Lepisosteus oculatus: one gene and its partners. The protein of the gene in region 4 binds, or shares a complex with, the protein of the main gene of each other region. Links are inferred from orthologs where the notes say so. Each region holds a gene or a part of one and is shown on either strand. Other genes may lie near its edges. The genes, in order: timm17a, timm17b, timm21 and timm23a.

Evidence for each region.
Region 1: timm23a (region 4) and timm17a share a complex: the UniProt entries of both Homo sapiens proteins name them as parts of the TIM23 complex. The link is inferred for Lepisosteus oculatus from reciprocal best matches to the Homo sapiens genes TIMM23 and TIMM17A.
Region 2: timm23a (region 4) and timm17b share a complex: the UniProt entries of both Homo sapiens proteins name them as parts of the TIM23 complex. The link is inferred for Lepisosteus oculatus from reciprocal best matches to the Homo sapiens genes TIMM23 and TIMM17B.
Region 3: timm23a (region 4) and timm21 share a complex: the UniProt entries of both Homo sapiens proteins name them as parts of the TIM23 complex. The link is inferred for Lepisosteus oculatus from reciprocal best matches to the Homo sapiens genes TIMM23 and TIMM21.

Annotation. Positions count from the first base shown.
Region 1 is NC_090700.1:30,240,401-30,247,808, reverse strand, and holds the start of timm17a (mitochondrial import inner membrane translocase subunit Tim17-A), read left to right. Parts: upstream 1-4,388; 5' UTR 4,389-4,472; coding exon 4,473-4,498; intron 4,499-6,623; coding exon 6,624-6,723; intron 6,724-7,408. UniProt on the Homo sapiens protein: Essential component of the TIM23 complex, a complex that mediates the translocation of transit peptide-containing proteins across the mitochondrial inner membrane.
Region 2 is NC_090697.1:75,085,261-75,092,195, forward strand, and holds the start of timm17b (mitochondrial import inner membrane translocase subunit Tim17-B), read left to right. Parts: upstream 1-3,920; 5' UTR 3,921-3,977; coding exon 3,978-4,003; intron 4,004-5,095; coding exon 5,096-5,195; intron 5,196-5,588; coding exon 5,589-5,652; intron 5,653-6,622; coding exon 6,623-6,751; intron 6,752-6,935. Other genes in the region: pqbp1 (polyglutamine-binding protein 1), read right to left, coding at 241-341, 922-1,033, 1,697-1,763. UniProt on the Homo sapiens protein: Essential component of the TIM23 complex, a complex that mediates the translocation of transit peptide-containing proteins across the mitochondrial inner membrane.
Region 3 is NC_090701.1:376,390-384,388, forward strand, and holds the start of timm21 (mitochondrial import inner membrane translocase subunit Tim21), read left to right. Parts: upstream 1-4,982; 5' UTR 4,983-5,232; coding exon 5,233-5,518; intron 5,519-6,270; coding exon 6,271-6,333; intron 6,334-7,999. UniProt on the Homo sapiens protein: Participates in the translocation of transit peptide-containing proteins across the mitochondrial inner membrane.
Region 4 is NC_090699.1:43,720,893-43,728,380, forward strand, and holds the start of timm23a (mitochondrial import inner membrane translocase subunit Tim23), read left to right. Parts: upstream 1-4,481; 5' UTR 4,482-4,578; exon of another isoform or gene 4,579-4,655; intron 4,656-4,792; 5' UTR 4,793-4,798; coding exon 4,799-4,904; intron 4,905-6,488; coding exon 6,489-6,547; intron 6,548-7,488. Other genes in the region: placenta-specific protein 9-like, read left to right, coding at 651-742, 1,023-1,149, 1,544-1,578. UniProt on the Homo sapiens protein: Essential component of the TIM23 complex, a complex that mediates the translocation of transit peptide-containing proteins across the mitochondrial inner membrane.

The DNA of each region.
Region 1 (7,408 bases), on a different chromosome or scaffold from region 4:
AAACGCTTGTGATAAAACCGAAATAAAGGGACGAAAATTAACATCGAATTGTAACCAGTCAAGTGGATATTCGAAAGGATTCTGTGCTTTCAGCACGAGAAAAAGCCACTTAATAATTAACTGGCCTATTTTGCGTTGCTCAGAATTAGGAAGGAAACCATTAAGTTAGATATTACATTGTTCGCATATATGTAAGCAGATACTGTACATGTACGTTATTGTATGTTTTCTAAAGGAAAACATTCAACCATAGCATACGTTTTATACATGCCTATACGTCTTGAATATTTAAATTATTATACTACTTTCCGTAACAATTCATTCTCCATCTTCAAAATTCTGACGACTTTTCCCTCGATAGTGACGTAAGATGACGTGTCTTGGGTCACCGATCAAGTTCCAACAGCTAAAAAAACAAGTTCCAACAGCTAATGTCGCTCTATTTACGTAGAAGACCATACGATTGAACAGAAGGACATTATGTCATGCCTTAGCTAAATGGAAGCCTGGGGATAAAGTTCTCAAACGCACCCAAGGCGTTTTTTATAAGAGGAAAAAAAGAGTCGTCCATACCTTTACAAAGGAGAAGATAATTCTTGAAATGATAAATTAGGCGATGTGTAGTTCAATGAAAGAGTTTTACAGGTCTTAAGTTCTCGTATGTATCGAAGAGTTTTTGAGAAGAATGATGTTCACACAGCTTTGTAAATATTTATTTTTCTACAGCTTCCAGATGTTCAACTGTTAAACGCATCATATGGATTTAAAGTGAAAAATAAAACTGTAGTTACGTTCAGATACGTTACTAATACGTTTTATCGTGATATACACCCAATTACGGTAACTTTCTAAAACGTTGCTCATGTTATAATGTGTCTCCTGTGTATCGTAAATATGTATGTTTGAAAGCGTATGGCCCATAAACTCTTTTACGACGTTATATTGGAAATGCTAATTTTAATATGAGCTGACTAGATTAACGGTAAGTGTCTGTACTTAAGAGTGTGTAAAAACACTATACCTGTATGTTGATGTAAAGGGAAAACTGACAGTACTACAATATTAATAATACCAATGTTTACTATCATGTAAATATACTGCACTTGACATCTAAAGAAATTGTCTTACAGTATTTCAGGTTACAGTGCCTTAAGTGCAAGGAATAGTACAGAAGGCAATTGTATGCACCTTTTGAGAGCAATGTGTTTTAAAATTGTACGTAAACAGTACAACTTTTGATCACAATAAAACTGAGAGTTATAACTTACAGCCTTTGAACATCATGTATTTAGTCCCACTACAATGCTACAGTGATGAGATATCTAAATATCAGGGTTGATTGTTTTAAGGTAGGCATGGAGCCAGAACAAATTTCCTTACTCAAATCAGGCTCACACTTTTACTAGACTAGATGTGAATTAAAAGTAACTTTCTGGAAAACAATGACTCATCTACCTTGTAGTCATCAGGTGGCTTTATTAAGCCCTAAAACTCTTTTATTGTGATAAATGCCAACAAACATGTTTTACAGTTTGTGATACAGTATGAGAGGCCTTTAAGGCCATGGACCGATGGATAAATGATTAGCGTGAATATTTCTCAAAAGTGACAACCAGAATAAAACACACCTTAAAAAAAAATCAGTCACAGTAAGTAGGTTACACGAGTTACGTTTTCTGTGAAATATGTTTCATGTCTATTCCACTGTATCTCTCTGATTTTCTATGGTACTTTGAGGTAGTTTCTGTAACATATTTTCACATACTGTGCTTAGGTTTCTCATTGCTAAGCTCCTTCTCCTTTTCAGACTGATTACGAACGAACAGAAGGGAAGCTCAAGCACGGGGCTCTCAGCCGCAGTTCCTGGGGGGCCCTGTGTCTTGTGGTTTTGATGCCAACATACAATACATAGTTGGTCAAACTACATAATTGACTGTATAATTGTAACACTCCAACCAGGTGATTAATAGGCAGCGGCACCTTTAATTGAGTGCCTTGTGCAATGAACTGTAAAAGACCTCAAGAGAAAATCCTGTCTGTGTCTAATTTAGAAAATAAGAAGGTCAATAGTCTGACTGCTCAGGTTGGAACAAGAACCCGAAGACAACAGGCCCTCCAGGAGGTGAGTCTGAGACACTTCTCCACAACAAGCATATTAAGGTTTTACTTCCTAAACATACATAAAGAGGCCGTCGCTGACATCTCATCAGGCTGGTGGCAGAGGTAACACAATAGGTTTGAGATTGTTCCTCCGCTTCTTGTTATCCAACAGTGTCCCTCAAAGCTGTGGACTTCCCTCATCATGCCAGAACAAGTTGGGAAATCACAGGACAGCATCCAGAGTACTCTGGCACAAAAGAAAACTCCATCCCTCTCTCTGAGACTCTATCCATGTTCTTCCAGGAGTAGATTCTTCCCCAGCAATGATTGAGAGATGTACTGAATGAAAGCTCGGCAGTTATGTTTCAGTTGCCTCCCAGCCTGTCCACCACAAACGCATACACAAACTCACAGCCCCCAGCACCAATGAAATGCCTATATTTGGTCATTTTTCAATGGAAACACAGTCTGAGGCTCATTCCATTACCATTCCTAAGAGTGGGAGAAAGGCCAAGAGCTTGTCTGACGCTCTTTAAAAGCTCTCCGCTCAGACATAGAGTAAAAAAAAAAACAGCTTATGTAAATATTTCCTTCTATCACAAAACTAACATAAATATTTATTTACCATCAGTCCCAAAGTCCTTGTCCGTTTCTTGTCTGAGTGTTTAGTCTCATTATTATCCCACTTCAGACTACGTAGCATCTCTGGACAAAGCTCATACACGTAGATTTGGTCATGCTTGTTCGAACGTCTGTGAACAGACGACCGTCTAGGTGAACGTCTGAGACAGATCCAATTTTTAACTGCTTGGGTCTGACGGAGAAACCTCCTTCGTCTCACACGTGAAAGGGATGCATTTTTGTCATCAGAGAACTTTAGTGAACCAGTTTTGTGTACAAGGCATAGAATCTGGCAGAACAAAGTGGAAACCAAGGAGAAATAGACACAAGACTGAGAAAGAATAAAAATGCTTCTATACGCAAAGGGAGGTAGGAGTGAGGAACAAATGACCAAGATATGGTGTAAATCTAGGATTCCATTTCAAGTCTTTCATGTCTGAGGAATTCAGGATACAGGGCTTGGTTTGTTTTTCTGTCTTAGGCTCTCACAATCCTGTGGGATTCATATTCCTGATAGCCTTTGTGAAATAACAAATCAGTCACACAAATTCCACACATATTTATGAAGTCACATAACCACTGTAAGAAAGGGTTAGAAACCAGCGATGCCCATTCAGCTCATGGAATGTGTCCAGTTAGTAATGGCTAAAAGATCTGAGAGCCTCATTCAGTCATTCTCTGAAGGACACCAGGACATCAGCTTCGATAACTTGGCCCAAACACGTCAGGTACCCCTGTTTAGGTCTTGATCCAGACTCCCACAATCCTTTGCAGATAAAGTCCCATGCTGGAGGCTTGAGGAAGGAACGAGAGGGAGGAAGTGAGGAGACTTTTCCTTACAAATCCTTTCCAAAGAAATCAAGGACCTGGAATGGGACTTTCTCATTCCCAGCTTTCCCTCTTCGTTGATGATGGGAGGATTCACCTGCTACCAGAGCAGCAGAGGACTGGGGGTGGGTATGAAGGGTACAGAGGTGACACATTCTTGTACAGGAATGTCCCTCAGGTCCAATGAAGGACCTGTGCCTTATCATCTGTAGCAAATGACACCCTTGCCTTGTTTCCTATGTAACAGTTCAGAACGATGTAGTCTGAATGACGTCTGACGTTGTTTTGAATACAGATCCTTTTTTCCTGAACCAGTCTTGAACATGTTTTGTGGTCTCGGTCAGCAGTATCAATTAAGTAATTAACAACCAACATAATTAAGAAACGGTCCTGCAATAATCCTACAATGAAATGGAACTGGTGCAGAAAGGCAAGCGGCTTAATAATTGATGCTTTCAGAGTTTTAAGGTAAAAAAACAAAAAAAAAGTATTTTGTTTACACAGACTGTAACTTTAAATTGAAAATCAAAATAGTAGCAGTGACACTTTAAGTTGACGTTGTCCACTACTAGGCGCTGAGTGGTCGGCACAGTGGCCTTTAGTCCTGCTGCCACAACTCAATTCAGTTCCGGCTTGGACACCTTCTCTGCGGAGATTAGCCACCCATAGCCACACAGGTTTTCCTCTGATTTCCACCCATAGTCCACAGACATGCAACTTAAATCAGGTCCGGAATTGAACCCAGGGCAATGCAATGCTCCTATCAGTCCTACCAGTTACGCATGGCGAAAATTAACTTTACATTTACACACAGTAAGAGAAGGACTAGCCCTTTAAGTCGCGCCAGTTTCTGAGAGCTTACACTTCCTGTGACGTCAGGACTCCGCCCTACTTTTTCCGCCGAGCGAGACCCCGAGAAGAAGATGGAGGAGTACGCACGTGAACCATGGTAAGTCATTATTTTTAGTATAGTGTGACATTACAAATGGTGTTTGTTTGACACAACGAGAGCTTAAAACCCCGCTAACATATGGGAATTTTTCTTCGGCGCTGTGAGGAAGGGTCGCTAACGCTGCAGTGGCCGGTGTGTCACACACTTTTTCTCTGCAGAGCCGGTCGGTGTCCTTGGCATCACAGACCGAGCCGGGTGACCTTGTGTAACCGATTTTTGTTTTACAGAAGTCGCGATTCCTGTGTATATTCTGTGTGGGCTCAATAGAATGTAAGACTGTATCCACGGTAGTCTCTTACGACCTGAATTCTTAGTTCATATTACAAGACGAGACAATTTTCCTTGTGTTTCCTGCCTCCTGGTGACGTAACCAGTGAGGGAAGCCTGTGTCTTTAGCACATTGTTGGAATCGACTAGAATGACGCTTTAAAATGAGTTCAGAAGGCATGGTGGGGTCGTTGATTGCAGCTGTGTGTACCTTTGATGTGGCAGAGTGCTGTTGATCACGCACCGGTGTTGTGTAATACTGATCCCATGCCGGTGATACGTTATGAGAGCCTGGTGTGTGGGTCACAGGCATACACTCGTGCGATTGCATTGCAGCCTCTGGTGCTTGTCGTTATTACAGCAGTGACCAGCCCTGGTCCTGGAGTGACATCCAAGCAGGTTTTCTGGGTCATCCTTAAATCATCAGAGCGTAAAGACGTGGAATGTGTGGGTTTCGATCAGCATGGTTATTGACTGTACTGAAGTCAGCCGGGCTGTGTGATGTGCGTGAGACCTACAGGCTGTTAAGATTTTCATTTCAAATGCTCTCTAAACATTATTGAGCAAACCTTCTCTTTCAGTGATGAAAATTTAAACTGGTTTCCTCCAGGTGCTCCTGGTTGGCTCCCACAGTCCAAAGATATGCTGGTGTGTGTGCTCTGTGATGGACTGTCCAGTGTATACCCATTGCATGCCAGGATATACTCCAGCTCCCTTGTGACCCTGCAGTGGCAGAGTGGTTAGAAAATGGAGGGGTATTTAGACAATACATGACTTGTAAGACCTGCTGGATGGGTGCTATCCAGAATTGGGTATGAGCGGCCCACCGCTCTCTAACAATATAGTAGAGAGGAAAGGGCTTCATTTAAAGTGCTTTGTCCGCCAGACTCAAGACTGCGCAGCCCTGTTGAGAAACCTGAACTCTTCCACCAGAGGCCAGGGTGCGGTTCAAGGGTGCGTGCTCGGTTGCGCTGTGTGATCTGACGCCTTGATGAGAACACAAGGGTAGTTCAACCTTGTCTAGCGATATTGTACACAGCGTTTTGTTTCCTTCACTTTCCCACGTGACTTGAACTAGTTTAATCTGCGCGAATTAAAGAGAAAAAGGTGAGGTAGCGGGCGGCAGGGTGCCATAGTGATCAGCATTGCTGCCTCACTGCACTGGGGTCTGGGTTCAATTCGGGACCTGGGTTGCTGTCTGTGTGGAGTTTGTATGTTCTCCCTGTGTTTTCTCCAGATGCTCTGGTTTCCTCCTGCAGTCTAAAAACATACTGGTAGGTTAATTCGTTTCTGGGAAGAACTGGCCCTAGGTGAGGGTGTGTGTGTGTGCGTGCAACCCTGAGTTGTATAATACAGTTGGATATTTGATGGATGAGTTAGGTAACTCTTTTTTGGTCTGTAATCAACAGCCTCTGCTGGCAAGGAGGGTGTATTGCAGGTGGAATCTCTCATCACTTCCCTGCACCTTTATGCTCAGTGCTCTTAGAAGCTTGCGTTCTTAACAGCAGAGAAAAGTAGCAGAGTATAAATATATCGAGTATAAGACAGAGTCTTGTACAGAGTATAAGTATGTTTGAGAATGTTTTTCTTGGCTTAGACAGATGTATTAAGTTTTTCTTGCTTATTTGATATATTTATCTGTTAAAGGGTGCACATCAGAAGGGAGACTGCAGCTCCTGTGCACTGGTTCTGTATTTCAGTACCTTCAGAATGCAGGCTGAGGCAGAGGGGCCAGTGGGACACATCCTGGGGCAGAACTGCTTCTCTCTCTCTCCATGATCGGTGGAGCAGGAAAATGTCAAATCGATTGTGCCGGCAGGTCATTAGAAAGTTATTGATGGCTTTATTTCTGCAGCCCCTGGAGGATCGTGGATGACTGTGGGGGTGCCTTCACCATGGGAGCCATTGGAGGAGGAATATTCCAGGCAGTCAAGGGCTTTAGAAATTCACCTGCTGTAAGTACTGGGACACTACTCCTCTATCGCAGGGCCTGGAGTCTCACAGCCCTGTCTTGCTGGCCAGCCTGCTTCTTTCATTCCAGCCGAACTTATTTAATGGGACAAATAATCAGGTCCTTTTCAAAGCTCTTGTCTTCAGCTCTTAACTAGTTTTAAGTAACTTGAAATGTTCAGCTTTTTGTAGCTGACATAACGAAAAGCGAATTATGAGGCTGATTTCAGGTCCATGCAGAGCTCAGTCAGAATGAAGACCAGGACTGGAGAGGGCCCCGTCTTAAGACCAGGAAGCTGAATAAATTACCCGGGCGGATCTCCGTTTCTTCAGTTCCACCATCGTGATGGAATGAAAACCAGAAAAAAAAGTGGTTCTCAGGAGAGAGAATCTATACATCAACTCTGCTGTCCTTTGCAGTTTTGGGGGGTAGTTACCTATAAAAAAGTAATTCATTCAGTTTTTAAGGTTTCTAAAATTTCACATTTTTTAAATTGCTATAATTACTCCATATTGACATCACATTGATCACCGGAACTGATGTTTTTCTCAAAATATTTCCCTGCTTTGCCCATCTCTTTTGGACCATTGACCTAGCCTGGCTCTGCTTGTCCTGTCAGTGCTTTTGTTGCCCCCTGTGTATTTAAACTAAGAGTGTGACTTTCCTTCTAGCCTTTCCTCTGTCTGCTG
Region 2 (6,935 bases), on a different chromosome or scaffold from region 4:
ATGAGAGACTGCTGGCTCTCCACAGCCTCGCCCTCCAGCAGGGGGCGACCCACTGGCGCTCCAGGCCAGCACCCGATCGATTCCTTTCACAGCTCTGCTGGTTAGTGGACACTAGCGAGGAAAAGAAGCCACACTGTAAAGAGTAAAGCACGACAGCAAACCCAACCCCCTCCCCCGGCGCGTGTGCGATGGGAGAGCAGGCCTGCGACTTGCTGTCTGACTGTAGCTCTGCGGCGGTACCTTTGAGCTTCTTGGCCGCTTTGGAGATGACGGCATTGGGGTCGTTGGGGGACAGCCAGGACACCAGGTCAGTTTCCACATTCCAGTAATACGGCAGACCGCTGCGGGGCGGCAGAGAAAGCGTTTCAAGAGATAATTACTACTGCTTGGGCTGACGCTCTTATCCAAGGTGGCCCACATGTGTACCCATGAGTCTTTGACCAGAGCAGTGTGGGTGAAGAGCCTTGCTCAAGGGCACAGCAGCCTGGGATTTGAACCCAGGACCCCGCCCCCGAACCCCAGGCTGAAGGCCCGACAGCGGAGGAAGAGAGGGAAGCAGAGGACTCTGGGAAGGACCGAGAGGCAGTAAGAGATGGAGACTGCTGGCTGGGGCAGGCAATTCCACTCCCTCCGGTTTTCACCCCAGGCCGGAACGTCCTTGCTTTACTGACTGAACTAAGTATTTGGCCTGTTTTGTTTTCCTTCAGTTTGCCGATTAAAAGAGCCTCTAAATCCCACAGGAGCCCAGATCCTCGAGGACTGGGATCGCGTATCCCCGCTGCGGGGGGTCCGGAAGAGAGAAGGTGACGGAGAAGAGGTTTCTACATCAGAAGGGATGTTGTGTTTTTACGTCTAGCCAGCCCAATCCGCAGCTGGGCTGGGCGAGGGCGGTGAACTGGTGACGAGGGGCGGACTCCTCACCAGGCAGGGTCGAACACCTTGTACCAGCTGGGCGGCAGGTTCTCCACGCGGGTGGCCTCGTAATCCACGTTGTTGTCGTCGTAGTCCTCGGCGATGATCTCCTCCTCGGCCTCTGGAGGGAAGACGACAGAGGACCGTGAGAAAGCAGGGAAACACCTGGCCGCACACCTGTCCACCTGGAATGTCAGCTCCTAGACAGCGCGCTTGTCCCGGCAGCATGTTCTTGGAGTGGGCTCGCCTACACAGGCTCTGCTTTCAATCTTTAATGATTAAAATATTAGCATCTGATAATTATACATCCGTGCCTGGACTAGCCAGTAGCACTGTAAAGCAGACTGTGCTGTATCGTACAAAGAACTGTGTGCTGGGCTGCGCTTTACTGTATAGCCATGTTCATATTCAGATATGCGATAAGATCCAAAATTTGCAGCGCTGTGTTAATATCCAGGCTGGGCTGGGCTGTGTTAATATCCAGGCTGGGCTGGGCTGGGCTGTGTTGGGCTGCGCTGGTCTGTGCTGTGTTGTATTGTGTTAATATCAATGCTGGGCTGGGCTGTGTTGTGTTAATATCCAGGCAGGCTGGGCTGCGCCAGGCTGTGTTAATATCTAGGTTGGGTTGTGTTGTGTTAATATCTAGGCTGGGCTGTGTTGGGTTGTGTTAATATCCAGGCAGGTTGTGCTGCGCTGGGCTGTGTTGGGTTTTGTTCATATCCAGACAGGTTGTGCTGCGCTGGGCTGTGTTGTATTAATATCCAGGCTGGGCTGGGAGACTCACCATGCTCCGTCTGTTTAAGAATTCCTCTCTTGGCCAGACGAGCCAGTAAGGCAGGAGGGAGGGGCATCCTTGATCCTGGGACATACAGGACACAATCAGCACACAGCACTGTACCGTATAATACTGTACCTAGAACTACACAGCCCTGTACTGTATAATACTGTACCCAGAACTACACAGTCCTGTACTGTATAATACTGTACCAAGAGAACTACACAGCCCTGTACCGTATAATACTGTACTGAGAGAACTACACAGCCCTGTACCGTATAATACTGTATTGAGAGAACTACACAGCCCTGTACTGTATAATACTGTATTGAGAGAACTACACAGCACTGCACTATATAATACTGTACTGAGAGAACACAGCCCTGTACCGTATAATACTGTATTGAGAGAACTACACAGCACTGCACTATATAATACTGTACCGAGAGAACTACACAGCCCCGTACCGTATAATACTGTACTGAGAGAACTACAGCACTGCACTATATAATACTGTACTGAGAGAACTACACAGCCCTGTACTGTATAATACTGTACTGAGAGAACTACACAGCCCTGTACTGTATAATACTGTACCGAGAACTACACAGCCCTGTACTGTATAATACTGTACCGAGAACTACACAGCCCTGTACCGTATAATACTGTATTGAGAGAACTACAGCACTGCACTATATAATACTGTACCGAGAGAACTACACAGCCCTGTACTGTATAATACTGTACCGAGAGAACTACACAGCCCTGTACTGTATAATACTGTACCGAGAGAACTACACAGCACTGCACTATATAACACTGTACTGAGAGAACTACAGTCTGCACACAGCACTGTACACCTCTACACAGAGAGAAAGACACTGTGCGAAGGAGCTGCCTAATTTCATCAAGGGTTACTCTGCTATAAGGCCTCAGAGGTGGTTTTCCCACTTTGAACACTGAAAGCACTTCTGCATCGTGTGCACAGAGAGCGGGTCGTGGGAGAGTGACTGCACAGCCATATTGCCGGACCCCAGCGCCGCGGCTCTTTCCGAGAGGCGGCTGGAGCGGTTAGCTGCTAGCCCCTGGAAGAGCTACAGGAGACGACCGCGTCCGCCCGTCACCTATATGGCGCGTCTGTCTAACAATCTGGATGTGCCGCTCACGACAGCAGCCTGCTTACCTTTGAGTACCGCGCACAAACCAGTCAGGCGGACCAGCGACACCACCTCTGAATCTCCAACCCCCTTTTTATCTCAAATATACAGCACACCTCCGTTTTCCGACTCGCGGTGCCCTCTTATCCAACACATGCGCTTCTAACCCGCACTGATGTTCACACAGGCTTGATTTTAATAATGTAATCTCCAATTTCTCGCCGCAAATTAAGACACCGGCCACAGGCAAGCGACGACAATGTCGCGTAAGTGACGTGTCACACAGACGCGCGCGCATACGCATTCACGTGACGAACGTTCAGTCGCCAAGGTGATAAAAAGGCACGAGAAGATTACGTCATTGAGGTTGTGTAGTCGGATCGCCATCTTAGTGGAGTGCAGAGAATACTTGATAGCATAACGAGTCTTTTCTTGAAAACCGTTTAAATCTTAAGCCATCAGCTGGTGTAATAAGGTTAAAACATTTTCTGATAAACTTTCTGTTATTAAAGGAACAAATAACAGGTTTATTCCATGCTGAAAAGAGAAGAGAGAAAACAACGTTTCGGCTGTGAAGCCTTCTGCAGATGTTAGTGATATTTGGTTTCTTGTGCTCATTATCTGCATTTACATCATATAAAGCATATTGATAGATGTCCACTCAAACAGATCAACCACCTGTCATATTAACGACAGGTTCGTGCAGTCTCCTCGCATTGCTGCTATTGCATAGTGGGCTGTATCCGTTTTATAGATTTTGATGTGTCTACTAAATAACACAAAGACAAGTTGTATATATAATGCATTCACCGCTACAGTGGTACATTAATATTGTACATGTTTTATATCCCAGCTCCTGAAATTCAGTTTATAAAATTTCTACAGACCCATATTGTTTCCTATGGAGCGTCTAGAACATTGCGCTGCGATTTCTACTTGCCTAACGAGGACTGAATTTCAAGCTCTACTAATATGGCCGCCTGCTGCGCATACAACTGAGCCAGACGTGGAAACGTTCTATATTTTCAACAATGAGGGGCTGTGCACTCCTGTCACATGACACGTGCTTTCTTCGCTTGCCCTTGCCGGCTTCGTACGTCATCAGCCCCCAGTGTTGTGTTTGTGTGGTTAAGATGGAGGAGTACGCTCGAGAGCCCTGGTAATGTACAGCCCAGTGGAGAGCTAGCTTTTAAAATGCTGCAGGAGATAATAAAAACGTTTTTAGCTTCGTGTTTTATGACCTTTTTAATACCGAGTCTATTTGGCTTTTAGCCACACGAAATGTTTGTTTTTACTCATGTCAAGTTGAGCTTGTTTAGTTATGTAACTGAACGATAGTCCTAATCTATATAATACCGATTTGGCTGCTTGGAAATATCAGGTCAAATCTCAAATAAACTTCAGTATTCTTCACGCAGGTTGTTTAAAAAATCGTTGACGTATTACGTGTTTCACGACCTTTTGTGAACAGTAATAGTTGCTGCGTTTCAAATGTTTTCCTTACAGTTTCTCTTCGACCTGTAGTATCAGGGTTTCGTCTGTGTTTTGAATACGCGGATAGGCTGTATACGTTATTGATCTTAATTTTATTAACAATTGTGCGGTGCGTACGTTTGCAAAACACAGTGCAGGATTGACAGTAGTGTATTTCAGTGTGATTTGCTTTTGGTTATTTTTAAACACTTCGCTGATGTGTTCTTACTGTAAAATATGTTGATTTTGTCGGTTGTGGTTTTCTGTGATTGACTAGTATTCCTTCCAGGATTTGTGTGTGTGTCCTGTGTTGGACTGGTGTCCTGTCCGGGGTGGGTGTGTCTCCTGTGAGGGACTGGTGTCCTGTCCGGGGTGTGTGTGTCTCCTGTGAGGGACTGGTGTCCTGTCCAGGGTGTAGTGTAGCCGAGCCCTATAGTTCTGGAATAGGCTCTGAGTTTCCATGGCCCCTACTAGGATTACGAGACTTTGGGATACTGGTTGGATGGGTTGTTAATAGCTCTTTTTTATTTCTCCCCATATTTCTCTCATCCTTTTCTTTCCTCCATCTCTTAATCTGTCCTTCGACTCTGCCCTTCTCCCTCTCCATCTCCCTCTCCCTGCCCTTCTCCCTCTCGTTCCCCTGCCCTCCCTCTCTTTCCGATCTCCCTTTTCCTTCCCAACGTTCCTCCTCTTCTCCCCTGGCCTTCCACTCCCTGTCCCTCTTCTTCCCTGTAACACTCCCTGATCCCCCCTCCGCCCCCTCTGTCTCCCTCTGCAGTCCGTGGAGGATAGTGGATGACTGTGGGGGGGCATTCACGATGGGGGCAATAGGAGGGGGCATCTTTCAGGCCGTCAAAGGCTTCCGCAACGCCCCTGTGGTGAGTAGAGGAAGACTCTCACCTGCTCTGCACGGTGGAGCTCATTTAACTGTTTAACAGCTGCTCCAGGAAAGAGCTTCAATTTAACTGTCTTCGGTTGTCAGGTAGGATTGCCGTTAACTCTCCAGGACCACAGCAGCCTGTTCTGGCTTTTCTCTGAGCGCTGCTGTTCATACTGCGTGCCAGTCCTTGTCCAGCACCTCAGCAGATAACCGCTGGGCGAGGAGAAAGTGCTGTACGAGCACTGCACTGCAGTCAGAGCTTCCACTGTTCTTGCGGTGCATATACACAGTGTTTCTGAGATCAAGGCCACGGGGGACTCCCAGTACGGTACCGTGTGGTCTTGTCTCTGAGGGGAAACCGCAGCTAACAGAGAGGCGTTTCTCTGTGCAGGGCATGCGACACAGGCTGAGGGGCAGCGCCAAAGCCGTCAGAATCCGGGCGCCCCAAATCGGAGGTGAGTGTCACCCCTCAGTCTGCTTTACGCAGCTGCGGTTAGGCTGTTTCTGGTTTCTGGTTTTTATAACACACTGTTATATGCAGAGATCTGGCACACTAAGAGCTGCAACACAGAGACACGATAAACACGCGCTGTCAACATTTGTGATGTATGCACCTTAAATTTCTAAATTCCTATTCATTAACTCAATATATTAATAAAAACCAAGCACGACAGTGCCCGTGTGTGTGTGACCATTGTGTATTGAGTAGCCTATCAAGATAGCTGGTGCTGTTTTGCAGACTTTAAAGACAGGACGTTTCTCACATCACTATGTCTCTACTATGGCCTGTAGTAACATAACTGTCCACAAGGGGTCCTCAGACCACAAGTTGTGAGCTGGTGCATTCAGGACTTTAGATCATGGGGTTTCAGGTCTGTATAGTACTGTATTTAATATTAATTGATTTGTAAATTACAAGGTGAGATGTTCACCTTCAGATACCAGAATATCCTGGTAAGATATTCAGTTTTTTTCTAGATTTTGTGCACAATTGTATAAAGTACGTACTTTTCAGGTCACGCACAGTGTAATACACAGTATTAAAGTTACGCTATGGTACAAAAAGTAGGCCATTCTCACACAAGTCTATAATACAACACAACGCAAAACATTATACAAAAAAGCGAAACAAATCACGATAAAGACAGTTCAAACAAATGAGATGCATTTTTGCAGTATAGCGAAGCAGGTTTATTGTGCTGTCTCTTTGCATGTGTGAAGCATGACAGAGCATATCAAACTCCAGTCTATCAGTGCACCTTTGCCCCCAGTTAAGGAAGACGTGCAGACTCCCCCGCCAGTGTCTGCTGTTGGCTTGCAATACGCTAGCCCCCTGTGAAACTTGAAGGTTTCCTGTGACCTGCTCAGTGAGCCGCTCCGGGGTGACGCCCTGCGGTGTGTGTGTGTGTGTGTGTGTCTTGCCAGGCAGCTTCGCGGTGTGGGGCGGGCTCTTCTCCACGATCGACTGCAGCCTGGTGAAGCTGCGGGGCAAGGAGGACCCCTGGAACTCCATCACCAGCGGCGCCATGACGGGGGCCGTGCTGGCCGCACGCAGTGAGTGACCGCGCCGCCGCGCCAGCAGCACGGGGACACCAGGCACCAGGCACCAGGCACCAGTCAGCCAGCTCGCCGGGAAAAGCAGTCGGCTAGCTCGCCGGGAAAAGCAGTCGGCTAGCTCGCCGGGAAAAGCAGTCGGCTAGCTCGCCGGGAAAAGCAGTCGGCTAGCTCGCCGGGAAAA
Region 3 (7,999 bases), on a different chromosome or scaffold from region 4:
ACACATATACTGAATGTTTCAATACTCTGTTTATTTTGGCCAGGAAATTAAACATATTTAATGACTTTATAAAAGTTTTGCTTAAGGAGTATTATTGAATGTCAGGTATGGCTGCATTACTTCTTTGGCTCTGTCTTGTTTTATCTCAGGCTGTAGATGTTAAAACCTAAACTCCTTCTTCTCTCTGTCCTGGTTTCTAATCCCAAGTACAGATCATACTGCATTGTTTAGATGGTCTAAAATATGTGATCTGTTTAAAACCTGAGACAAGTGATATGTGAAGATATGACACCAGCCAGCAACCTGGCTGTGTAATCGACTGCTGGGTCTTTGAACGAGGAACCTGAAAGAAGGCAGAGCTGGAGGGAACAAGGTGAATTTCCAGGACTGCTGGCAGAGCAGACACAGTGGCATGTTCATGTTGCCATAACTACCCTTCACAAGTAATGGCATTCTGTGAAAGAAACTGAAATTAAAGTCTGTGTTTTGCACATCAGGGAGTAGAATTAAATTAACAGAAACAACTAAACTGGTAGCTATGCCAAATCAAATAGCAGAGATCGAATAGGGAAAAAAGAGAAAAAAAAATATCCAGACTAATTTTTCCCAGCCAGCTCTCAGCTTCGTTAAAGCAGCAGAAGAGAAGAGTGTAACATATGAAACAATGTTAAAATAGGAACAGCCTTAACCCATCAGAATATCAGAACATGCAGGGAAACACATACTGCACTGCACGTGTGGCAACAGCAAGGAGGTCTTGAGTAGTTTAGAGATGTAACCATTTCAATCTTCACTATCATGCAATACCCTCAGGAAAGCGATTCACTGGTGATAATGGCCATTAACACACAGTTGGACTGCAGCTGCTGTACTGTAGGTGTCTTAATCCAGAAATAAAGTCAACAGGTTCTGGAATAGGTGTCTTGGCCTGTTCAGTCCCTGATCTGATTGAGACAGTAAATTTAACAGGAGAGGTAAAGAGAAGACAGCAATGAGCACCTTCTGTACATGCTGATTATACACAGGAGTATACAGGGGTGACTAGGGCTGATCTGACAGCAGTCTTCGGGGGTGCACTGCTGACATTGTGTGACAGACTCACTCAGGTCTGTGCAGGGGGGGCTGCCAGCATAGCAACATTTTGATCTGTAGTCGATTGCCACCAAACATCTCATTTCCTTTCCAGAAGGGAGAGGACATTTCTGCAGAACACCCGTTTGTGCAGAATCTTTTTAACTTGTACATAGTAATTCCAGAAGATCCAAAAAACATGGTTTTGTATAAAGTGAGATTATTTATTAATTAATTATTCTGCTAGGTATCAGATCCATGATTACACAATCATACTGTCTTTCTATAACTCTATATACCATCCCATAGTGTGCATTGCCCCCTGTACTTTCCATACTAGGTGTTTATTTACAAATAGGGTTTTTTTTAATTACGCTTTAACTGTTTAGTCCCAGATGGGTTAATGAACTTCAAGTAATACCCAGGTTGCTGATAAACCATTGCTGTTATCACTGACAGGCATGCCACCATGTAACCCATTTACTTACAAGCGCCTGGGTGTGAATGGCAGCAGAAAAAAATACACATTTACCAGCAGTAGCTCTTTCCAATTTGTTGGTACACTAGAACTGCAATTGCAACTACTTCCTAGTTCTTTACTTCCAGTACCAGGCAAATAACAATACTGCCTCTAGACTGGTAGATTCCCTAGATCCGTGTGTGGTTCCATGAAGTAAAAACCTGGCATTTCTTTAAAGAATCTGCTCAACAAAGTGTGTTAATGGTTTTCCTGTACTTTGTGTGAGTGTGAGGGAAACGGCACAAAGCCGCCTCACTCACTTGCCCGGGCCCCTGTCACAGAGAGAGATTTCAGACGGGGCTGAGGTCACGTCTGTAACACTTTCAGCACACTGAGCAGCGTTACACAGAGACCTTCAAATCTAGAACAATTAAGTCAGCAATTCATTCAAGAAAGATCATTAGAAGTCCAGGGAGAAATTAAAACTGCACGACACCACGGTCCCGCAGAACAAGCGATGCGCTCCGGAATCATTATTAACATAGCGCCACCTTTACAGCCTTTCCGACGCAGTGTGCACCGATTTCGAGTCCATTGAATTTATTTCCTCTGCATTATAACCACCTTTGTGCATCATAACGTCAGTCATACATGAGCAGCATTAATTTACTACAAAGAAAAAAAATACTGTTCCATCATATATACAGAGAAAAGCATATATATATATATTAAAAGTTTCGGGCTCGGCGAGGACGTACTCGGTGACTCGGACACTCGTTGAGTTAAGAAAACAGCGCTTTTATTAAACTTCGGTACACCCAATCACAGCACACCTGCGCCCGCGCCCCAGCAGAGCAGAAGACTGACTCTGGAAAAAAACGAGCAAGCGCCTGAGAGAATCGAGAAAGAGCAACACACTGGGGTCTACTCGGGTACCTACACCGGTATAGGGTGGCAGGTATTTCGTACCTGGTGCGAAACCAGGGAACTATTTACAAGAATCCGAGTGATCTCCCCAGAATGTACGCCAGTACAGTGGGTCAGCTGCACTGGTCAGCGGCTTTACTAGTCCCCCCCGACCACTACTACTCCCGTCCTGCCTCTCGCCGCGCACCCCAGCCGGGCGCTCTTCGGCTGCAGCGCCAGGCGAATGCGCTACAACAGTGGTTCTCAAACTTTTTGGACCAAGTACCACCCCTAATCCAACCAAAGCATCCAAGTACCACCTACAAGTCATCATCTCATAGAAACCCCAGAAACTATCAATGACCAACATGAGCGCATGTGCACACACACTCACACATACATATAATAAATATTATAATAATAAACTTTGTTTGATATATTAAAATGTGGCTTCTCAAAGTGTTTTACAGAAAAAAAACAACACATAAAAATAAAAAAGCACCTGTTTAGAGGGGTGAGCCTGTTTAGTTGAGCAAAGCAGATGTGAATTAATTTTTCGAGCCTTGATACAATTCACAACAGTCTTAACAGATTTTAAATCGTCAGGCATTTTCTTGACGGCAAAGGTCTCGCGGTGGATGTTGCAATGAAACCATTAATTTCTGGAGCAACCTCTCTAATTCGTTCAACTACACCGCTGTGTCGGCTTGTCATTGCTCTAGCACCGTCTGTACAAACTCCGACACATTTTATCCAGTCGATGCCATTCTCTGCGATAAATTCATTCGAAAGCTGAAATACGTGCTCTCCTGTAGTTCCTGTTGGTAGCGGCTTACAGAACAGAAAGTCCTCACGGGACGTACCCTCAAACTCCTATCTAACGTAAACGAGCAAATTGGCCAAATCGACTACAGACTCATCTAATTGCAGTGAAAAACATCTGCTCATCTTAACTCGCGCTGTCAGCGTACTTTTGATATCATATTTCATTTCAATAATTCTATGAATGACTGTGTCTTTCGGGGGGGAGGCAGCAGGTCGATCTGTTCAGCAGCTTTTTCTCCACACCTAATAGTGTGGGGCTTACCTGCTTTAGCAATCCGCAAGCGTGCATTTTTCCACGTTTCCGTTTTTATTTCAGTGTTTATTTTAAGTATTTATTTCATGCGCATGGGAGAGAAACACAGAGACGCTCGGTGTATTTTTGTCAAATTAACTTAGAACAATTTTAAAATAATTTTCTGTTATTTTTCACGCCTTTCTGTGCTCACAAGATTACCAGCGTTCGTAGAACGCATTTCTATGCATTCCTGTGTTTACAACGTTGGCATTGTTCCAAAATCACGCACATTCTCATTTCTCCCTATTTGCTGGAGATACAGTAGCTTTTTTTAAATACAATTGGTCACTTGCGTCCGTAGCACGCATTCCTATAGAGTGGTATAGAATTACAGAGTATCTCTTGTGTCCACTGAAGTATTAGCGCGCACTGTATCGTAGCACCTAGGCTGCGTATTCGACACGTATAAAAATACAAAATATGAAAATCCGTCCCGATTTTTTCAGCGCACACAACACAGTTCCAGGGTCATTTGGCGTACCACTTGGCGGCACGCCACGTACCACTGCCGGTACGCGTACCACAGTTTGAGAACCACTGCGCTACAATATTATTGTTTTTAATATGCAATTACAGACAGCTTTGTCGATCAACCATCTCTGAATTAAATCACGTTTTCTCCATGGTCATAAATCCAAGAGACTTTGGCCAGTTGTTCTACATTTAATTTATCGTAATCTCTACATCTAGTATCAGATTTTCAGTTGTCTTGTCTAATATTGTTGTGACATTTTTTGTGATCATTTTACTGTAAGCGGGTTTCTGTTCTTTCGGGCTTAAACCAATGAAATCACAGCTCCGGTCAGGACTACATTTGTATTGTAACGCTACGGCGTTCACGTCGGCCCCCCACCTTCGGGGACTCGAACCCGGGCCTCCAGCGTCACTCAGCAGGGACCCAGCCTCTTGAGCCTAAGGGGAATCTCCCGTCAGCCCGGCGGCTGCGGTCCCTGCTATTCACAGGGAAGGGCGGTGACGTCACCGCGCTGGTCAGCCGGCTCTCACGAGCAATGGAGGCCGTATGCGTTACAACTATAAATATATATAAAAGGAACGTGTCCTTAGCAATATAAATACTTAACACTAAAATTTTAAAAAAAACGTTATTATGTATGTATATCAAAATCGAATTCCTTATAACAAAGGATAATTTTCAATTTCAACAATATAATTTCATATTGACACATTATAGTTAACCAAGTTCATATGGTTCTGATTTATTTTATGATACAAATTAAATTAAAATTAAGTAGCATAGCAACTCGCGTGTATTAGGCGACAATCTTGCAACACGATGAGCATCACTAATCGAGCCCCGATCAACAGGCTCGCTGGCTTGAAACGGTGCGCGCAGTGCATGCTGGAAATTGTAGTTTGCCTCTCACGAGTGCCTCGCTGATACCGCTCAACTTGCCTTACGCGAAAACTCCAACTCCTACAATCCCACAGCTGCATAGCGTTACTCTGCAATGGCGAGGTTCTTGGTGGACTACCTACCGAAGACTTCTTAATTAAAGTTACTATCAGTCAAATACACGCGGATTTTTTTTATTTTGCAAAGTTTAGGTGTATTGTTTTTGACATTGCGTTCGGTCAGCCCAAAGCCCATTTTTTGTTGTTGTCGCTTTTTATTAGCATACTTACAACTGTGACAGTTTTATTTCGAAGGGGCAACATGCTGTTTTATTTGATACTGAAGTCCCAGCAGGTGAGGTCAGCCCGGTGCTGCGGCTTTCGATGCTACCGACAGTTGCACAGGGACGGCGGGAGCTTGCAGCGCGCCTCGCCCACAGCTGCCGTGCGGTCCGTCTGTGCGGCCGGGCTCCGCAGCGCCCTGCACGTCCCCAAACTGGGCGTCCTGGCCGATCCCGGGCTCAGAAGGGGGAAGCATGAAAGTTCAGGGCAGTTACCCGCGCAGGGGCGCCGAGGCGACACTTCGACACTGTCCACAGCCCAGAAAGGTGAGGGACTGGCCCGGGAGCCGAGGTCGCGATTTGCCCTGGACGCTATCTGGGACAAGGTACTCACGGTGGAGCTGGGTGGCCTCCCGGTAATTCATTGGTGTAGGCAGGAAGACAGTGATACCAGTTTCCCTCGCTGTCCAAAAGCAATGACAGTGTCAAGCCAGTGGATTTAAGAGTGAAACAATAGCAAGAGGACAAAAATGGAAACTGCTTGGAACTGCGTTTAAAAGTTTACTCAAAGGGCTGTGCGAGTGTGGAACAAGCTACCTTGCCAATATCCTGGTGTAGTTCAAGAAACAGCTGGGTAAAAGCTACCAAACTAGCTACTGTAGGTGGACTGAATGTCCCCATCTCGTTTGTATCCTTTCTTAAAAGGTTTCTGGTAGGTCTTTGTTCTTGGTGGACAAATGAACTGTGTTTGCAAGAATGCTCCTTTGGAAAGTGGGTTAGAGTGAAATTCTGAAACAAGTGTGTATAAGTGTTGCTGGGCAGCAGAGTAGAGTGGTGGTTAGGTTAAGACGGGGAGGTTGGGAGTTCAAATCCCAGGGGCACTGCTGCTGTGTTCCCGAGCACGGGGCTGCACTCAGACTGCTGAAGTAAAATAAGTCTGTAAAATTGGGCACAAGTGCCGCGTTGCTCTGTTTAAAGGGCTCACTCTAATAATAATAAAAGTGTTCCCAGACTGTTTAGACTGGCAAGTATTTTTAAAAAGAGAAACAGTAATGTGCTCTCTTTTCTCCTCCTTGCAGTCAAGAAAGCTGGGAAGGATTTCACGTATCTAATTGTGGTGCTTGTTGGGATTGGAGTAACAGGTAAGTTCTCGTGACCAAGGTGACAGGAGCTTCCTGTTAATACACATTCATTACGGAAAACGGGTGTGTTTTTATTGTTTCATCAATTTAACATCAGTTATGTGCATCTAAGATTTATTATATTTTCACATATGGAAATCAGTTTCAAATTAGAATGCTATAATGTACCTGTACCATATGCAATCCACAGAAACACCAAGAGCGTGAAAACATAAGAAAGGTTACAGAAGTTATGCAAAACCCTGCACTTGCCTGTATTGTCTTCAGCCAGGCGCTCACCCAGTCATGAGATCCACATTGGAGCCTGTGATGGCAATTCTATCCCAAAGGAGTGGGGGGGGCAGTGTTTCATTGGCCTTTGTGTGGGTGAACTGTGTCTGTAAGCAGGAACAATGTTTGTGCAAGAACAACGCTGGAGCACGTCCTCTTAAAACAGATTGAACTGCATATCCTAAAACTGTGTAAGATTTAAAAATATGTCAAAACACAGATCCGGGGCTGTTGTCCACTGCATGGTGGATGAATGCAATTCGATAGACCAAAGAGATAAGAAGTCAGACAGCGAGGTGTGAACTGAGGTGAAACATTACTTTGTCTTTTATCAAAGTAAAGATTCGCAAAAACCCAGTATTTGAACACAGACACTGGTGGGTCACTTTTTAAAGATTTAATCAGATTTGCTTGTTTTACTTACATATTCAACAGTTTACTTCCAAAAATCCCAAATTAGTAGGAGTATGTGTTTTATGGTACCTGGATAAAAAAGAACAACCTTGCACTTCTTCAGTCCATTTTAAAACAGCCTGGAGATGATGGATGTTACAAGCCATTTTCTAGAACTGTATTTATGTTTGATGTTATGATCTTTTCATCAGTCTTAATGTAGAAAACGATCCAGTCAGTTTTTCATTAGTTTTCATTAATGTCTTTGGATTATTAACTCAGTGCAATTTATCAGTGAACATTGCAAGTACAAATGCAGATGACAACCATGTAAACAAAGGAAGGCTTTCCTGAGGTATAACAAGCTATTATTAATTACCTAATTATCTGTCAGTTCACCTTTTAACTCTGCAGAATGTTAATGTGTTGCTGGCAGCTCAGTGTTTGAGGTTAATGCACTGAAAACTACATCATGGTCATTATGGATGGGAGCTGAAACATATCAACTGCTTTTATGCACAATCATGAGTTTGGGATCATGGATAAATTCATCCATTGTATTGCTTTAACATGCTGAACACATTTGCATGCATTGTTTTTACTAAATGAATGAGGGCTATTGAATTTCATTTTTGCAAATAGTGAATTAAGATGCCATGTCTTCATTCTGTTCTTTTGGGGGGAAAAAAGCTTTCTGAATCTGTATTAGGTGGAGGAGTTGGTAGCCATAATTTCTGCATGACTGTGTGTCTTTGTCTTAATTACAAATCGGTTGATTTTCTTTTTCTTCAGTATTTAATACGTATGCTTTTTCAATTATTCTACAGTCCTATGAGTTCAGTTTAAAAAATCATTTCTGTTCAATTTCTCATTCATCTATTGTTGTTTGTATTATGTAGCCACAATATAAAAACTGCAACCACTTTTATTTATAACCTACTATACATTTGAAGCCTCAGAGCACATTGGATTGTTTTGATTAGCCCTCATTGACTCTCTCCTT
Region 4 (7,488 bases):
GCAACATGTCAGAGTGTCGGAGCCAGTACAGGCACACATGAAGGGATGAATAGGATATACTGGTTGATACACAGACAGCTGGAAAATCTTTTTATGACTGTTCTTCCAGGCACTGCTCATCTCACAATGCTTGTATGCCTAATGGGCACATTTTTCAAGCATTTTCCACACCTCTCACCACACACCACTAACAACAGTCCTGCCTTCACGTTTTTCATGAACTGAAACAGTTAAAAAATGACACTTAGTACAACTATATACTTATTTTTAATATTAATTTACGATGTCAAGTCTGTGGTTGGGAATGGACCAAGACTCTCACCCACCTTCACATGCAAACTTCCCAGTTTACTGTATTCCTATAGGAGCTTTGTTTTGCTCAGGAGTGCATGTATAGTTCTTGTATATCGAGAACTGGCCTGTAATAAGAATGATGGTTTGAGTCAGATTTTTAATCCACCTCGTGAGCCAGTCTGGCACCTACAGTACATTTAGAAAAAACACAAGAGACAAACCACGGGACGTTATTTGACTTCCACTGTAAGACAAATGACTTGTGGCATTTTGTTTTTGCGCCTTCCCTTCGTGACCTGCTAATTTTCATATTGAAGCTGATTGATCTTGACGGCCACCCTCTGCTTTGTCAACAGGACCTGGGCCTGGCCTGTTGCCCAGAGCCTCCCATGTCAGTGCCTGTCACGAACACCGTACCCTCCACCACAAGCTGAACGCAGTGGAGCAGGTAACAGGCTGAACACCTTCATCCTGAGCTTCGGCATTCTGGACTCTAGCACTGCCACACCACACAAGATAACATTCTCGTTACACCGCCTTTGCTTAATATTTTTTCAAAGGATACAGGTTACTAGTAACTGAAAATATGTCTGTCTTACCCCTGTTTTGATTAGTTTAATTCGTCTTCCCTTAAGTCACCAAAGTGTCACATTCCAGGTCTAAGATAGCAAAAGGAAAGATTTCTGCTCACAGTGCTCTCTATTTTGTATGGCCTGTGTCCATCTCAGCGTGTGGAAGATGCAGTAGGAAAGCTGGAGGCAGAGGTGTCCATTCTCCTCGATGCCATTGAGGATCCAGAGTGGAGCTCCCTGCTGGATACTGCAGGTCCTGTCATCGACATTCTGGACAGCAAGGGTGAGGAAACTGCTCTCTCTGCAGCACTTTAGCAACCGTGGGAAACTGAAGGGAAGCAGGCTGTAACACTGAAGACTGAAATCCAAACCCTTTCTCAGCTATCCAGTTTTTCCAATTTCTGTGTGTTTTTGTAATTGACATAATTTGACAAAAGTTTCATTTAGGGGATGGGTCACAACACATTATCACTAGACTTAAAACTCCTATCAAATGACCATTTGTACCACATGTACAGTATTAGAAATAAAACACTAAGTTAACTCTATTCTCTCTATACCAATGTAATCACTTGTCCATATCTTCCAACGAAGCCCTTACACACCTCTGTCATCGGTCCATCTTCTGTCTGTCATTTTTTGCTCACAATTACAGGTTACACTCCTCTCTAATGCAGATCAATGGCTCCCTCTACTGTTGTCATCAGGCTGAGCTACCTATTTTCTCATCCTGCAGATCCCAGCTGAAGAAAACACTTCATACAGCAACATAGACTGGACAACACAGGGTAGTGCAGTGCCTGGCTTTAACATATCACCGAAACAGCAGCCGATTCTGGTTGCATCCAACAGACATTAATGATATTAATGGCCAGTGCCAATACAACAATTAATCCATAATCAATGTTACAGATTCCAGTACAATGGATTTGTGCTACAGGTATTTTCTCTACATTTTTTTTCTATTTTTACTATTGTAACTGGAGGAGTTACAGCAACGTGTTTTGTTATTAATAGATGTATGAATAAGAAATGTAATAAAAATCTTCTTAATAACACAACTTCCTTGTGAATTTTGATTTCAATAACAATTCCCTTCTGTGCTTTGATGTCATATAAACTGCCAGAAAAAAAAAACCATCTCTATTCAAATTTTAATTCTAAAGGACCCTGAGAATCTTGTACCCACTTCATCCATCACTGTAGCTGGGCACCCACCAGAGTGAGGCTGTGTAGCCATTATGCACAAACAGCACCACTTCACAGTAGGTCATGTGGAGTAGTAAGAAAGTTTGAATTAAAGGAGATCATTAGGGAGGCTACACTGTAGAAAATGGATATGAGCTAGGACACCGGGATTTTAACACCTTTACTCTTTTAAACAGTACAATTGTTTCTTTAATGATCAAGTACTCAGGACCTCAGTATAACATCTCATCTAAAGGACAGCCGCCTCCTACAGCACAGTGTCCCTGATCCGCATGCTGAGTCATAAGTTTGAAAATGAATGCAATGTTTGATAACGGTGAAACACACATCTTCATTTATTTCCTGGGACATGTCTTGGGAGGCATGCCACAGTCCAGTGATATATCGATGTTTTCACCAGCCCCCCTGACCCAAACTATAAGTCAGTGGTAAAGTGGTAAGGACAGAATTCTGGAATTTATGGGTTCAGCGCCAACCGAAAAAGATAACGGCATTGGATCCAGAGCAAGACACCTGGAATTAATGCTTAAAGACTCCTCAATTCTACGGGAGAGCCAGAAGGGAAGATGGAGAGAGATTGGAGGACCTTGGCCTGCCTCCAGCGGCATTCTCCTCAGTCTCAGGCCTGTGCGCCCGATCCCTCTGGACCTCGTGAGTCCACCTCACCAGGAGCCCTGCCCCTCTTACTCTCTCTAACTAGATCTTGCCCAGTAAAAGGTTCTACCAACATTTTATCAAGAAATTTGTGTTGCTAAAATGCATGTGTTGGAGAACAGGGAAGTGGTGCAGTCCAATAAAATATAGCAAGTCACCAGTTTATGAGCATACTTTGGATATGCTTTCCTTTTCTGGCTATGCTCAGAGGCCACAAGATTTTCTGTCTTCACTGAGACAGAAAGTGAGCCCATTCTCTAAGCTTCACTATAATCAAGAGAATTCTCTTCAGTTTGCTAATTGCAGTCAACATCACTTTGCATGATGGTTTCGTCTGGGCTGATGAAAGGACATGGGGGTCTGAATGAACAAGACCTTTCTGGTAATTAAATTCAGGTATGTTCTTATGGAACCACAAAAAACAATACAGAGTCCACTTAAAGTACCTTGTCACCATCATCACCGTACTCTAGCTGTGGATTCTGTTATACCTTGCATGTCACTTGTTGTTTCGACATAATGCAATAAATTACAACTGTGGTGCTTCTGACTGATCTAAGCTGGTCAGAAACACCTAGCTGTCTTTTAGGTAAGATGTTTCCTGGTGGTGGCAAGTAGCTTCTGATGTACAGGGGACAAAATAATAATAATAATTGCTTACACTTATATAGTGCTTTTCTGGTTTCTAGCAGCAACCTTAGCTTTCCCAGGTGGTCAACCATCCAGGTACTGACCAGGATCACACCTGCTGAGCTTCAGAGGGCTGCAGTTGTGAGTTGCAGGGTGATATGGCTGCTGGCCATGTATGAAAAACTACGAAAAAGCAAAGGGGGGTGGAATTAGTGCATTGAAGCACAGTCTTAACCCATCTGAGTGGCAGGTTTATAATGCCCATCATTTATTAGGATTGCTGTTTACAAGCTGCTTTTTCCATTTGTCCCTCATTTCTCCTTCTCGTTCATAATTTATTTCCATAAAGAGATTAAAATAGATTTACAAAAGATAATTTTTTAAATTCTAAAAATACATTGAAAAAAGATAGTTGAGCATCCAAAGCAGTAGTTCTCTCTGATTCTGTTAGTTTAATACGAAAAAAAAAATATATATGCATACACTTTCATTCAGATGCAAAGATGATCACATTTTTAGTTTTATATTGTGTCCATAAACAGATTTCAAACGGTATTGGCAGATGAATAATAAAACGTGTTGAATTTACATACACACTCTCTCAAAGCAACTTTTCAGATAATCTGACCTGTAATAAATAAGTATTAATTTATTATTATTATTATTATTATTATTATTATTATTATTATTATTATTATTATTATTATTATTTCCTATTGACGTCACGGAGCCATTCTGGAAGTACACACTCCTGGTCACATCTGCCACAGTTTGCGTAACAAAACCGCGACCCCACTCACACACGCCGTCGTGAAATTCCAAAAGTGTCGTTAATATCCTAAAGGCCTACTTTTTAAAAAATATATATTTTTATTTTTTATTACAAAAAGGGATAATACAACAAACAGGGGTATATACATACAGAACAAATCAACACGGCTTAAGTTGTACTGGAAACAACTTTTTAATAAACGGTTGTGTCAATGTTTCTTGTAAATTTCACAAGATTTTGACCATTCTTCTAGATATTATGACCAGATCAAGCAGTGTACTTATATATTGTAAGACTAGATAATTTACGCATTGGCACACATCTATTTTCTCATCAGCGGTGGCGCGGTTTGATGACGTTTTGACTGTGTTGCTTTACGGCAGTGTGCGCTGTAGGTCAGAGACAAGGGAGACAGGAAGGCAATATTGGATCTTCATTTATAAAACAGTAAGGAAAGCTATTGATAATTTCGTAACACAGATCACGTCGGTGATGTGTTTCCGTTTTTAAGGAAATGATCAGAGGTTAGAAGTTTTTTACACTACCCCTGATTCCCAGGAGGTTGTGGGGAAAAGGACATACATACTGCTAGAGTGATAGTATCACAGTCGAGTGACGCTTACCTTTGATTTCCTCTCCTCCTCTCTCTGCCTGTCACCAGAGCACCATGGATAACAGCGCGCCAGGAGCTGGCGGCTCGAAAGTCGGGCTCGGGGGTCTGTTCGGCGGGGGAGCCCCCGAGTATTCAAACACAGAGCTCGCCGGGGTGCCTTGTGAGTATATCGGCTGTTGCTGTTAGCGATAGGATTATTACGGATCATCCTCGTGATGTGACCATCTATTAAGAAATGTTCACGATCGTATAACTAATTAATAATTCCCTGTGTGTGTAGATGGCACAGTCTATTACAATATATCCCTAAGTGCTTTATCTATAGAAGGGGACCCAGACTTAACCACCACCGCTGACGTACAACACCTCCTAGATGTCATGTAAGGTTTGTCAGGTGTCACTTTTAAGGTTTTAAGTTGTAACCTTGGTTAATAGTAAGTCTTGCGCTTATATAGCACTTTTCTGGACACACCACTCAAAACATTTTACAGGCGATGAGGTCTCTCCTCCATCACCACCAGTGTGTATCTCCCACCTGGATGATGCAACGGCAGCTAAAGTATGCCAGTATGCTCCCCACACATCAGCTATCATTGGAAGAACAGAGGGATAAAGCCAGCTATTAGGAGGCCATGATTGATAAAGGCCAGGGGAACACCCCTACTTCTTTCAAGAAATGCACTGGGATTTTTAATGTCCATGGAGAGTAAGGGCCCAGTTTTATTATTCATCCAAAGGATGGTGGCTTTTTTACATTATGGTGTCCCCCTCACTATACTAGGGCAGTAGGACCCACATAGACCACAGGGTTTGCGCCCCCTACTGGCCTCACTAACACCTCTTCCAGCAGCAACATTAGCTTTCCCAGGAGCTCTCCCATCCAGGTACTGGCCAGGCGTACACCTGCTGAGCTTCAGTGGGTTGTCAGTTGTGAGTTGCAGGGTGATATAGCTGCTGGGTTTAGACCTTAGGTAGGATTGTGTAATTTGCTCAGGACACCAGACAGAACACACATACTTTTATCAACTGTGCCATGAGAACTTTAATGGACACATCAGAATCTCAGGTTAATGTCTCTTTCAAAAGGTAGTACTTCATTAAGCAGTTCTGTGATATCCATATTGTAGCATATGTTTCAAAGTCGTGATGTAAGGAGAAAGAATTACACCTTCTGATCTGCCAACACTATTTATAGCAGAAACTGTAAAGTTTTAGCCCCTAAAGTGGGGCTGTTCTATCCTGGCCCTGAATAGCTTGTCTCTCTGGTGTTTAAGGTCTGTTTAAAGCAGCAGGACCTGTGGTTGAACTGGTCCAGGCCAGTAAGCAGTCCTTCCAGTCCTCCGGGCCGAGGATTGGACAGCTCTGCCTTACAGCTCTCCCAGCCTGTACTGACCAGGCTCAACCTTGCTGAGCTTCTGAGATCTGACATAATCAAGATCAAATGTGATAAAGCTGCTCTTATATGGAATTTGTCTTCATTAGGATTTTCAGACATCTTAGGGAATACATGTAAGCATATCCATTTAGTCTGAGCATTTGTCATGTTGTTGACAGGAGTATTTTAGACTGCAAACCTCATCATTAGGAAATAGAATGTGTCCAGATCTCTTGGTCCTGAACCAGTATTTGTGCTGTACTTTCCCAATATTAACTGTTGCTTATGACTTAGGATATAAGGCTTTATCAAGTCAGAGTAATTATAGGCACTGTAATAACATCCGACTGATCACTTGTCTCTTCACAGTGACAGGAATGAGCCCCCTCTCACCCTACCTGAATGTGGATCCACGATACCTGGTGCAGGTGAGCTTGTCTGTACTGTTATAGTGAGTTCAGTGCTAGAACACCAATATTTCAGCTTAGCTTTTAGCTAATGACTAAGATCGATGCTAGGAGGGTGTGATGGAGAGGCTAGTGGGAGTGTGTGCATAAGTACATTGATTTATTTAGACGATTTTGGAGTAGTGTAGCCCCTGAGTAGGCAGCATAGTGGTGCAGTGGTTAGTACTGTTTTCTTGTGGCACTGGGTTCAGATTCCAGGGTGCTATCCGTGTAGAGTTTGTATGTTTGCCTTGTGTTCATGTGGGTTTCCTCCAGGTGCTCCGGTTTCCTCTCACAGTCCAGATATACTAGTAGGTTAAGTAAGTAGCTTCTGGGGAATCTGGCCCTACTGTGAGTAGGTCTGTGTGTCTGTATCTATATGTGTGCCCTGCGATGGACTGGCATCCTGTCCAGAGTGTACCCTACCTTGCACCTGCTGCTTGCCAGAATAGCGTCTAGATCCTTCATGACCATGTATTGAATGGTTCTAAAGTGGATATATTCCTCAAAATGCATACATATTGCCTTGGTGCTCTTAGTTCAGTGTTGCTTAATTCCAGTCCTGGAGGGTCAAAGTGTCCAGAGGTTTTCATTTCCACCTCTACTCTTAATTACCTTATTGAGCTAATTGTCAGCGTAACTGGGCCAGTTGAACACTCTTCAAAGTATTTTGCAGCCTGCTATCAAGTTAGAGTAATTATAGGCACTGTAATAACATCCGACTGATCTAAGATTAATTAAAGAGACCTGGAAAACATGCTGGATTCTGGCCTTTGAGGACTGGAGTTGTACACCTATGTTCTAATGTTTTTTTTGTAACTAGTATTTGAAAGATTGGCTTGTGATTCTTTTTAGAAAAAGGTGTAGGCACTCAGAATCATGTTAGTAATCGGTATGGTCACATTTCACCTAGATGATCACAT